3 linked regions of the Schizosaccharomyces pombe genome follow. The protein of the gene in region 2 binds, or shares a complex with, the protein of the main gene of each other region. Each region holds a gene or a part of one and is shown on either strand. Other genes may lie near its edges.

Evidence for each region.
Region 1: bet1 (region 2) and bos1 share a complex: the UniProt entries of both Schizosaccharomyces pombe proteins name them as parts of the SNARE complex.
Region 3: bet1 (region 2) and ufe1 share a complex: the UniProt entries of both Schizosaccharomyces pombe proteins name them as parts of the SNARE complex.

What each region holds. Positions count from the first base shown.
Region 1 is NC_003424.3:1,923,045-1,926,802, forward strand, and holds bos1 (SNARE protein Bos1), read left to right. Parts: upstream 1-2,036; 5' UTR 2,037-2,057; coding exon 2,058-2,081; intron 2,082-2,122; exon of another isoform or gene 2,123-2,132; coding exon 2,133-2,229; exon of another isoform or gene 2,230-2,301; coding exon 2,302-2,888; 3' UTR 2,889-3,495; downstream 3,496-3,758. Other genes in the region: tos4 (transcription factor), read left to right, coding at 1-41, 149-1,719; metallopeptidase Oma1, read left to right, coding at 3,695-3,758. UniProt on the Schizosaccharomyces pombe protein: SNARE required for targeting and fusion of ER-derived transport vesicles with the Golgi complex.
Region 2 is NC_003424.3:1,049,921-1,053,286, reverse strand, and holds bet1 (SNARE protein Bet1), read right to left. Parts: upstream 1,619-3,366; 5' UTR 1,559-1,618; coding exon 1,548-1,558; exon of another isoform or gene 1,505-1,547; coding exon 1,366-1,504; exon of another isoform or gene 1,317-1,365; coding exon 1,113-1,316; 3' UTR 563-1,112; downstream 1-562. Other genes in the region: mannosyltransferase complex subunit Alg1, read right to left, coding at 1-43, 120-303; serine/threonine protein kinase (CK1 family) Hhp2, read right to left, coding at 2,798-3,112, 3,199-3,366. UniProt on the Schizosaccharomyces pombe protein: SNARE required for targeting and fusion of ER-derived transport vesicles with the Golgi complex.
Region 3 is NC_003421.2:1,000,576-1,004,333, reverse strand, and holds ufe1 (SNARE protein Ufe1), read left to right. Parts: upstream 1-2,000; 5' UTR 2,001-2,069; coding exon 2,070-2,189; exon of another isoform or gene 2,190-2,217; intron 2,218-2,352; exon of another isoform or gene 2,353-2,386; coding exon 2,387-2,621; intron 2,622-2,709; coding exon 2,710-3,314; 3' UTR 3,315-3,622; downstream 3,623-3,758. Other genes in the region: formin For3, read right to left, coding at 1-1,204. UniProt on the Schizosaccharomyces pombe protein: Syntaxin required for targeting and fusion of Golgi-derived retrograde transport vesicles with the ER.

The sequences.
Region 1 (3,758 bases), 870 kb from region 2:
ACATCCAAATCAATCAATGACTTTTGAGAAGCCTCAATTGGGTAAGGTTGATTCCACGGTGATTAGTTAAGAAAACTGTGTAAACCAAAAGAGAATCATGCCTCTTTACCAATTGACTTGAATCTAACTTTTACTAATATTAATTTAGGCCAATTCGTCCTCACGCCTGAGCCATCTAGTAATACATTCTATGCCCCCTCTTCGCCTGCTTCTGCAGTGAGAAGAGAGCCACTTTCTCCAATGTCTTTTGTACGGATGCGTTCACATCGCGTTAATAAAATTGGCCGTTCTAGTCAACAATGTGACCATGTCCTATCCACGGTTGATAAAGCAATTTCTCGTGTACATGCTATTGTAACTTGTACACAAGACCGCATGATTATTGAGTGCGTGGGTTGGAATGGGATGATTGTGTCTGATAAAATGAGGAAGTCAGTATTCCACATGAAGAAAAATGATCGGATTGTCCTGGTAAGACCGAATTCGGATGCTTGTCCTGTACTGGATGTATTCGGTTACCGAGTTCTTCTTGGTTGGCCAAGTGATTCTGAAGATGAATGGGAAGGAAATCTTAATGCTAAAAATTATGAAGAAAATCGTGAACCTATGTCTCCTTCACCTCAAGAAGCTTTACCTTTGATGCCTTCATCACCTCCTTCTCAAGACTATCAAAACGATCAGAATCATCTCATATTGTACACTAATTCCGAATCCATTCCTAAGCTAAACTTGCGTAGTAACGAATTAGTATATCCTCCTCCATCCAAAGATTTGTTACAAAAGCTTCTTGCCTTAGAAAAAGATGGTCAGGTGGAAAAGTCTGATTGTTCCAAAAATACACAATTAAAACCATCTTTTCTCCCAAAGAACACCGACGATTTACTCAATGGCACTGATGATAATAACATCGTTTTAAGAGAAGTTAAGGTTTCTTTTGAGAACGAAAAAATCGAGAGTGATGATCTTGATAAAAATGAGGAAATTAGTGAAGGTGAAGAATACACTCCAATTGAAGAGTCAAAAGAGCCTATAACAGTAAGACGGGATAGCGTTATACAAATTGATGAATCGTCCGCTGGACTAACGGACGTTATCTCTGAACTTAATTTTACAAACCATAATGATGACTCAAAGAATTCTAATATTACAACTTCAAATGATTCCCCAGTGAACGAAGTTGAGCCAATGGCTCCTGAATTGAGTTCAGCAGTTGTGGAAAAGAAGGAACCTGAAGACTACGAAAGCATCTCTGCTGTTGATGAGAACACTAATGACAGTAATGAATCCCTCCCTTCTAGCCATGATTACTCAGAATCAACAAAAGAAAATTCAGCTCCCGATAGCTTATTATTAGGATTGGTTTTAGATGAATTGGTTTTCTCAACAACTTCAACTACTCCCCTTCCTGCACTTTCGCATTTATTTCCTTCCAATATGCCACTTCAATTAATTCAGGACAAGCTTCGAGACTTGGCAGCCAAGCACCCCTACTTTGAAGAGGTTAAACGTTACGGAACTGATGCTAATGGTGATCCATTGTGGAGTGAATGGTTTTATAACCCAGATGTGGATGATGATTTAGAACGGCGTATGAGATATGCTCCATTAATGAGACCAGTAAGATCCTCACGTCGTGTACATAAACAATATTATTGGAAAAAGCCCCGAGCTCGTCCACGTTCATCGGGACATTCTTCTAGGCGTCGTCGTCTTTCATAACGAATTGAATGCTGGCATCAGACACGACCCCTATAAAATTTCGCTTTTTGATATTGTATACATTTCGTTATTACGAATGGAATTATTAGATTTTTCAAATGGGGTTCAACAAAATACAATTGAACTCAATAGTGATTTACATTTAATATGAATTTTGGGTAAAAAAACGCATTCTTTTTTATAAAACTGTATTTACAATGTATAGAAATAAATTGCTACTTTAAGCTATTTACAATTTTGATATAGCATTCAAGTAACGTGTTACTTGCTACATGTGTTGTCATATCAAAGACAAGAAAATAAATTACCCTCATATTGGAACCAACTACGGCAAGAGAATGAGCAATACTCTTTATAATCACGTATGTAACTTCCTAAAGTTTTAGAAAACATATTAATTTGTATTTCGCTAGTGTACAAAGTTGTTTCAGTCCATTCAGCGAAGCCTCGATGAGTTAGAACGTGGTGTTCAAGATGAGAGCAACACTATATCGTTAGCTGGAATTCAGGGTATGTGTAGATGAATAATTATGGTACTTATTTTAACCAAGTTATTCATGAGACTAATGCAAATCAATTTAGGCCAGATCTCAGCTTCATTTCTGTCATTATCCAGATCCATTGATGACTACGATAGTATGGTCCAAAGGGAATTGGTTCCCGCTAAAAAAAAAAAAGCTACAATACGAATCCAAGAGTTCCGTCAAAAGCATGTTCAGTTGTTGGAAAAATTTGATGAGTTGAAGGCACACGTTCGTGACATTGCGCAAGCAAAAAATAGAAAAGAATTGTTAGGGAGGCGTGGGTATGTGAACTCTCTTGATAGTCCCTACGGAAATTCAACAACGGATGCAGAAATTGTGGAAGGGCCATCAGATCTAAGCAGACAAGATGGTTTATTAAAGGAGCATGATTTCCTTGGTCGTGCAGAATCTCAAGTTGACGAATTTCTAGAACGTGGGCGGATGATTCTTGGTGATTTAGTTGAGCAGGGAAGCGTTTTAAAAGCTACTAAGACAAAAGTACTGAATGCCGCCAATACCCTTGGCATTACTCGCCATACTCTATCTTTAATCAACCGTAGGTCCAAACAAGACAAGATTATATTTTATTGTGGAGCATTCCTTGTATTTGTCCTCTTTTACTTGATTTACAGGTGGTTACGCTAACATGTTCATGTCGTTGGCTTGTTTAAATTTACTATTCTTATATGATATGGGGCAGTACAACAAAATCAAAGATGATTAAAAAATTTGAAGAGCTTCTTGAGAGTTAAATTTTTTATTAATTATTTTTAAAAATAAGCTATACATTTTGCACTTGTTAGCTTCTCCTTGCAAGCTATTACTGTTGTGTTTTTTTCCTTCTGTTTATGACATTCCACTAATCACGCACTTATGGGCCTTTTAAATCTAATTCTTTCTTTGTGTTTTTTTAAATCCTTAGTTTGTCAATCAATTAATACCGTTGCGGTAATGCTTGACTAAAACACCTTCTCTTCAGGCGGTTGCTTTGAAATGCTTCAATTGTGATTCCATTTCATTTTATTTTAATATCCAAGAGAAAATTAACTTACCAATGGGCAATAGTTTTTTTTCCTTAGTTTCTTCGTAATTTGCTCAGTTAAGCTATGTATTAAAAATAATAAAATAGACTAAAACTAATTGTCATCACGAACCGTTAGTTGACGACTGTTTTACACTATTTTTATTGTCAACCGTTTTCAATGCAACTTAAGAATTTGTCGAAAGCCAATTGAAATTTGTATTCATATATATTAATTTTGTACCATATATATTGTAATAACTGTATTGGATGAAGTTAACTTTTACTAAAGAAACTCGAGACACGTTTGTTAAAATTAATATCGTTAGCGATTATCCTTTCGTATACCATAATACACCAAACTATCCTCCATTCTCATCTTTTTAAATATCTAGCGCCAATATTTAGTAATTCCTATAAGAATTATTTAATGTTTTTAAATAAGTATATATCAAACTATTCCAGAACCAGGGCTGTGAGCTGCGCTCCAGTTC
Region 2 (3,366 bases):
ATGTTTTCATGACTTTCGAAAAGTCCTACAGATGACCCGGGGTCTACGACAGTGTTAGTGACAACAAATACACCTAATGTGGTATAGATTAAAATATTCAAATATTTTAGATAACTTACGCTGATAGCCTAACAAATCAACCTTCCATCCAAGTTTAGCGAAGCTAACGGCATGATATTGCATTCTAGGGCTTCTTGCAATATCTCCTAGGACGAGAACAATAATTCTTTTCTTATCCGTCCTCTTTTTTAAATTAAACCATATCACCAAAGATAAAAATAAAACTATCTTCAATACTAGCATTTTGTACACAAACTCACGGTTACTGATCGAATTTCGAAACTTCCGCTTAAGAAAACTAGTTATTAAATACTGTTAGACATATAAAAAGCGAATATCTTCTTAAAACAACTTTCTATAGGTAGGTGTACAGCGCTGATGGTTTACGTAAATATTATTGTGCCCATAATACACTATTAAACAGCAACCTACCCAATATGTCGAAACTCGAAATAACATGCATTTAAAATACAAAGGAAAAGGAATAGAAGCATGATTGTACTCTTAAAGAAAAAAAAAAAATTTTATTTCAAGTATTGAAGTAAAAGAACACTAGACGCAGAAATAATGTAATAAGCAAATAAATTTAAGTAGTAAGATTCGTATCACATACTTAAACATTCCATACTTCAAGCTTGGGAATAGAAAATGCAAAAGACATGACCTGCATGCCGATAAACTTGAATAAAACTCAAATGTAATAGTTGCGTCAATTTACAAAAATGGTAAGACGACGAGTGAAGGGCTAGTATCATGAATAACAGATAGAAACTTATAATAACAGGATGTAATAAGTTAAAAACAAAGTCGTTAGGAAAACAAAAATTGAGGATTTGCGTTCCTATCGTGACAAACCACTTGTGTGGAAACACCAAAGGTGGATGAATGTTTTTTTTCTATCGATAATAAGTTTAAAATAATCAGAATGAAAATGTTAGAAGAAAAGAGAATGAAGAAACTTCAAGTATACAATTTTAACAGATTATACACGCCATAAAATGAATCATAAAAATGCTAACTCTAAAAAAGAGTAAAGGTAGTAAGCAAAATGCCTAAAATCTTACCAAAACGAGGATAAGCGCAACGAGGCAAAAGAAGGCGAGCCACATCCAAATTGAAATTCCTCCATTCTTCGAAACATTCTTTAATCGAGTCATTGTCCCGCTCAAAAGTGACTTGGTCGAGTCAAATGAGTCGTTCATTGACTCCATCAACTTAGTAGAAGACGTTATCTCAGTCCCAATATTCATAGTAAGCTATTAAAATTAGTTAGCATGTTTTTCCTGATGATGGCAAAAATCTTACCTCTTTCAAAGACTTGACTTTTCCAGTTAACTTTGAAATCCGTTCATCATTTTCATTTTCCAAGGAGTCTAAATGCTGAGGAGATTGAGACTCATACAAGGGCAACATATCGCCATTGCGTTCTTTTCTTCTACCGAATCTAATGATTAGTTAGACATTGATTGATCAGATTTAGTACATACCTTGATCCCATTCTGAAGCTTTTTTTAAAATCTTTCCCTTTACCGAATATGAAAAGTATTTGGTGTAGCGCAACTTCCAAATCCTAAGATCTCTTTGTTATGTATTGGTTTTGTGCGCAAAGTCAGCTCATCAAATAACATGCGACGCAACTCAGGAGTTGCGTGTAGAGGTAACACATTGTTGTACTAAGTGACAAATCTCATTTTGCTCTGTTTTTACATTAATCTAAACAATTTTTTTTTTACCGCAGACGAAACAGAGATGATAGTTATGGGTTTAGTAAAAATAAGTATAGATCCCTTCTTGAGCCTGTAGAATATTGAATTTGAGCATCAATTTTGAATGATTTTTCTTTGTGGTGCTGATCCATAATGTGTTACTGGGGCAACTGTAATGTAAACAAATCAACGTGCTTTGTTTACATTTGTAGAAGTGAAATACCGGTGGTTAAAATACCACAGAAAGCAATAGATATGATAATATGGCAAATCGATGGATATTTTTCTTTGCTACAGCCGAAATTAAATAGTATGTAAAACTTGATGATCCAGCGGTCAACTCCAACAGAGCTAATATTTTTTACGCTACTTGCCCATAATACAGTGTGAAAAATAGCGATCTATTTAATCGATGAAATTTATCATTTATTAATGAATTATTTCTTATGCAATTGATATTATATCTTTTATTGCAAAGGTAGGCAATAAAGACTGGTTTAGAGCCACGCAAATGATAGTGTAAAAAAAGAAACATGCTCCTTGTGTATATTACTTCTAGCAATGGAGGTACAAACTTTTCAGTTTTGAATAAAAACGGAATGTAAGAACCAATGGGGAACGAAAACAATAAAATAAAATTCTGGGAAGAAGAAATTTAGAAATGAATAGCACGACTGACTCAATTCTTTGGCAAGAACTTGACCGGAACGAGCTGAATATAAACAAACAGCACGATTTAAATTTTGTCCTCTAATTATGTCTTTTCAGTAAAGCATGTATGAGGTTTACACAATATGTCTATTTAAAAAGAAGGCATTAAAACTCAACTTCTAGGCAAAATGGAATAGCTCAAAACAATAGCTAAACCTCAAAGTGTATTAGTGTAGCAATCCGGCCATCCATAGACAAAAAAGAAAGCCAGGAATTATTAAAGATATTTGTGGAACTTTAAAACGTCAACAGATGGTTTGGAATTTAAGACTAAAAGACGTAGTGTAAGAGAGGAATTGATGAAAAGTAAAGTCAAAAAATCAAGGAGCTGGTTCTTCATCTAAAACACGCCTCAGTTGAGCACTGTATTGAGGTTGCAACGAAGATGGAATGTATTCATAATCTTTGTTGGGAACAGGAGAACGAAAGGAGAGAGGAAGAGGTGAGGGAGAAGCACATTGAACAATATTAGTGGAGAAAGATTGTGGAGTCTTTGGATTCCGCTCAGCAGGTAAGGGAATGGATGAATAATTAGGAGTAATGGGATTAACCGGTTGAGTTTGTGACACCATAGGAGATGTAACCTGTGGAGGTGCTGTAGCAGAAGCGGCGGCAGCAGCAGCAGCTCGCTTTTGCTAATAATAGTTAGTCAATCGAATTTTCAATCATTTGTTAAGGTTAAACTAACGTATCACCTTATCATTTTCTTTTCAAAACTTACGTATTTTAATATCATCCAGTCAAAAACATAGTCATACTGGTATCCTTTACGAATAAGTAAATCACGAAACAGCTTTCTCAAATAAGCATAGTTTGGCTTCTCGGTAAACGAAAGCTGACGAGTGTAACACATGTAAGTGATAAACTCTTCGGGAAGACCTTTGCAAAG
Region 3 (3,758 bases), on a different chromosome or scaffold from region 2:
TGATTAGTAATTGCAGAGCATCACGGACGTGTCTGTTTCTCCATTTTAACAAAGAGTCGATGGCCTTTTGAAGACCAGCAGATAACAATTCATGCCTTAGAGCACACCTAAGTTGCAAATCCGGTGGAGCAGCACATAAATCTCGAATGAGAGCTAAAGTTGCAACAAGGTAATCAATCAAGCAGTCCGTATCTTCAAATTCGTCCATGTGAACAATCGCTTGAGGAGATGAATCAGCACAAACTCGGACACCAGTAATCACATCATTAAAGGAATGCATCCATGCGCTAAACCGAGTTTTTGATAACTTTTGCTCGACGAGCCATTCGAAAGCCCTGATTACAGCTTTGAAGTAACTCAACCCCTTTTTATTACAAAGGAATTTAAGGAGAAAAGTAGCCATGCGAGCTGAATTTAAACTTTTTGAAAGCACAGTCTCAGCAATAGTACCTAGAGCATTAAATCCTGGAACAGAGCATTTAGCTGAAGACTGATAACGACGACGGCAGTTTTCGCTGTTCAAACAGTGAAATAATGACTGTATTATTTGGGATTCAAGAGGTGTTTTAGATGCACGTTCAGGATAGTGACCCAGGTTTCTTAAAGCAGACAGTAAACTTTCAATACCATTTCTTTCAGCAAATTCATCCATCCACCAAATTGGTTGAATACGTAATTGAACGTTTAATAGCGATAAAAAATGGTAAGTAGGTGGGACTTCAACGACTTTTTCAATGAAAAAGTCTATCCTTTTTAAAATTCGATTATAAGTTGCTTCATCTAAAACAGTATGTTGGTTAGTAAGAGGAGCATCATCGTCATAAAAAGTGTAGCGCTTGGTTCGCTCGTTGGTAATCTCTTTAACAATGGTAGGTTTTGGAAATACACGGGATTCTAAAGGATAAATTTTACGTAACTGCTCAGTTTCGGATAAAAGTTTATCATTTATTTTTGTCTTTTGGTGATAAACAGTGTTGTAGCACATAACATATTCGGGGTCATTATTGTCATCGGAAGTAAGAGAGAGATCTTCTCGCGACTCAAAATCATTAGTACTTTGTAATTTAGAAAGATCTGAATTTTCAGATAGGGAAATCGTAGAGGGTGTTCCAATACGTTCGTTGGAAGAGGTAGAGTAACTGGAATTTCGAGATTGAATAGAACGACTAGTAGGGGGAGACCCTTCAGGCATTTTAGATGCCATTATGAATTAACATACCAAACTGGTAATTTGGTTGTAAAAAAGATACTAACGAAGCTGATTAAGGAATAAATGGTAAGGAAGAAAGCAATCTTTGGTGAAAGAGAAAATATATCGTAATGCAGAGCTTAAAGCTCCGCGGTAATGTCAACCAGATTTTAAAATCGTTTGGATGATTATATTAAAAAGTTGAAAGGAACGCAGGTATCAGATGTGATGCGAAAGTACAGCTTTTTAGAAAAAGGGGTAATCACTGTATATTGTATAACAATAAGCAAATACTGAAGGTTAAAATCAATTAAAGTTAATAATATTAGCCTTATTGCAATAAAATGCTTGATAAATATGCAAATTTAACGTTTCGAAGAGCGTTGGTAAAGGATGAATTTATGTCGCCCAAACCATGTTATTATATAGCAACCTCAACACCAGCAAAACAAAAACCTTATTTCTTCGAGATAAAGGACACAAACAACTTTTTTCAAGCTAAATTTTTAAAAATAACTCAAAAATTGTAAACAATTTGACTGCGCTCCATTCTTGTGAGGTGTATAACTGGTTACGTTTGTTTGTTTACTTGAAAATAGCTCATTTCTAAATACTTCAAAAATTGCGAAACTTTAGCTTAATTTCATTTATTGTAGACATCGACTTGAAGTAAATAAACAAAACTCGTACAATGGAGTATTTTTTTTTGCTTTTTTGAACATTTGTTACGAGCACCTTTAAGTCTCTCAATTCCGTTTACCGTGTCACTATTCATAAGGGGATATGGAATGCTACCATTTTCTAAACATCTGTTCTGTTAATTTGAAATTCATTTAACCCGGGATTTATATTTCTCCTTTCTTAGCATCTCAAATTCTGAATGACGAGTCGTACGAATGAGTTTTTTGGATTAACAAAAAATGGCGACATTGATGCAGCAAACATTCCTTTGAAAAGAATAAGTTATACGGATCCTTTTTTGGCTGAAGGATATAGAATTGTAAGTTTGAGGACGAGTTTTCTGTAATTATTGAACCAATCGGAAATTTAACCTCAACTCAATTGATCACTGTGGAGATGCGCTACCATAATATACGATTAATTATTGAGTGGGATTGGTTTAAATTTTTGACAGTATTAACTTTTGTTATTGCTTTCTATATCTAATCAGAGAGTTCAAATTGCTAACGTTAGCAGCATGAAACGATTGTTAATCTTCTAGTATTTTTGAAAAAGATTCGTGGAGCTTATTTAAAGGACAGAACATTTTCAAATGTCCAAAGACTCTCAAAACCTTTAATGGAGTGTTCACTTGAGGAGCTTTCAAAGCTTGAGCTAGATGAGGTTCAAAGGGATGAAATAGAACATGAAGTCTCTTCGGCAATCAGTAGCTGTATTCATCAAATAGCTAAGTTGCAGGAGATTGTGAAAGGTAAGCTTAAAATTTTAATACTGGTAAAATTATGTTTACTTAAATTATAAACAAAACACAGGGACATGCTTGCTAATTGCATGAGTAGAACAACAAAGTCAAATCCCTAAAAAAAGTGGTTGGCTGCAAGGTTTAAGAGACCCTAGTAAATTATCGAAAAAGGAAACTTTAGTCGCCCACCATTCATCTGTTCTGTGGTATCTGCAGTCTGAACTTTCCGATGTTTCTTCTGTTCTATATCATTTACAAGATCTGAGATTAAAACGAGGTCAGGAAAAGCGAAACATTGCTTCAGACTTTTTAACAAAAAATCCTACTGATGAAAATTCAGCTGTTGAGATCCCTGAATCTGAATTACAAACATTTTTTACTCAACAGCAACTTCAAGAACTTGAGCAAGAGAACGATGTTTTACTCCAAGAATTTGAACATACTATGGAACGTTTACGTGATACAGGGAAATCTTTGGCTGATATTACTAGACTTCAGTCGGAAATATCCGCTCAACTATCTATTCAATCAAGTGCGGCTGAAAAACTTTATGATGATGCCCTTAATGTCATGGATTCGCTGTCTGGGGGTAATCAACAACTAATCAAGGCCAAATCTAGAAGTAGTCGGACCGCTCGTCTGCTTTTTTGCATCTTTACCGTTATGGGACTTTTATTGCTATCCTTGGATCGTATTGTTTAATTCTCTTCATTCTTCTGAAACTTTATATTGTAACAATAATGACAAAGGAATGAAACTCGTTCTTCTTTGATCATGTGAAGTTCATGTCTATAATCTCATGTAAATATAATGTTTATGCTTATTCTTTCGACCATTCCTTGCACGCCCAAATAAAAATTCCTTATAATTCATCTTGGGTACGTTAGTTTTCCAAAAATTTTCTGGCCATTTACTATGAAATAGATTATGGTAAAATTGTAGCTTGAAAAATCTAGTATGATCGAATGTTTATAGAAGTTCACAATCAGTCTCGATTAATTCAAAGTCAAATTTGTTTGTTAAACATTCAGCTATATAATTTAGATTGATGCATTGGACATTAGCAAATTAACTAAATGCTTAGTCAAAAGGGATGTATTGGAAGAATATATTCTTACCCTGCCAAATAACAGAAACGATAAAAAA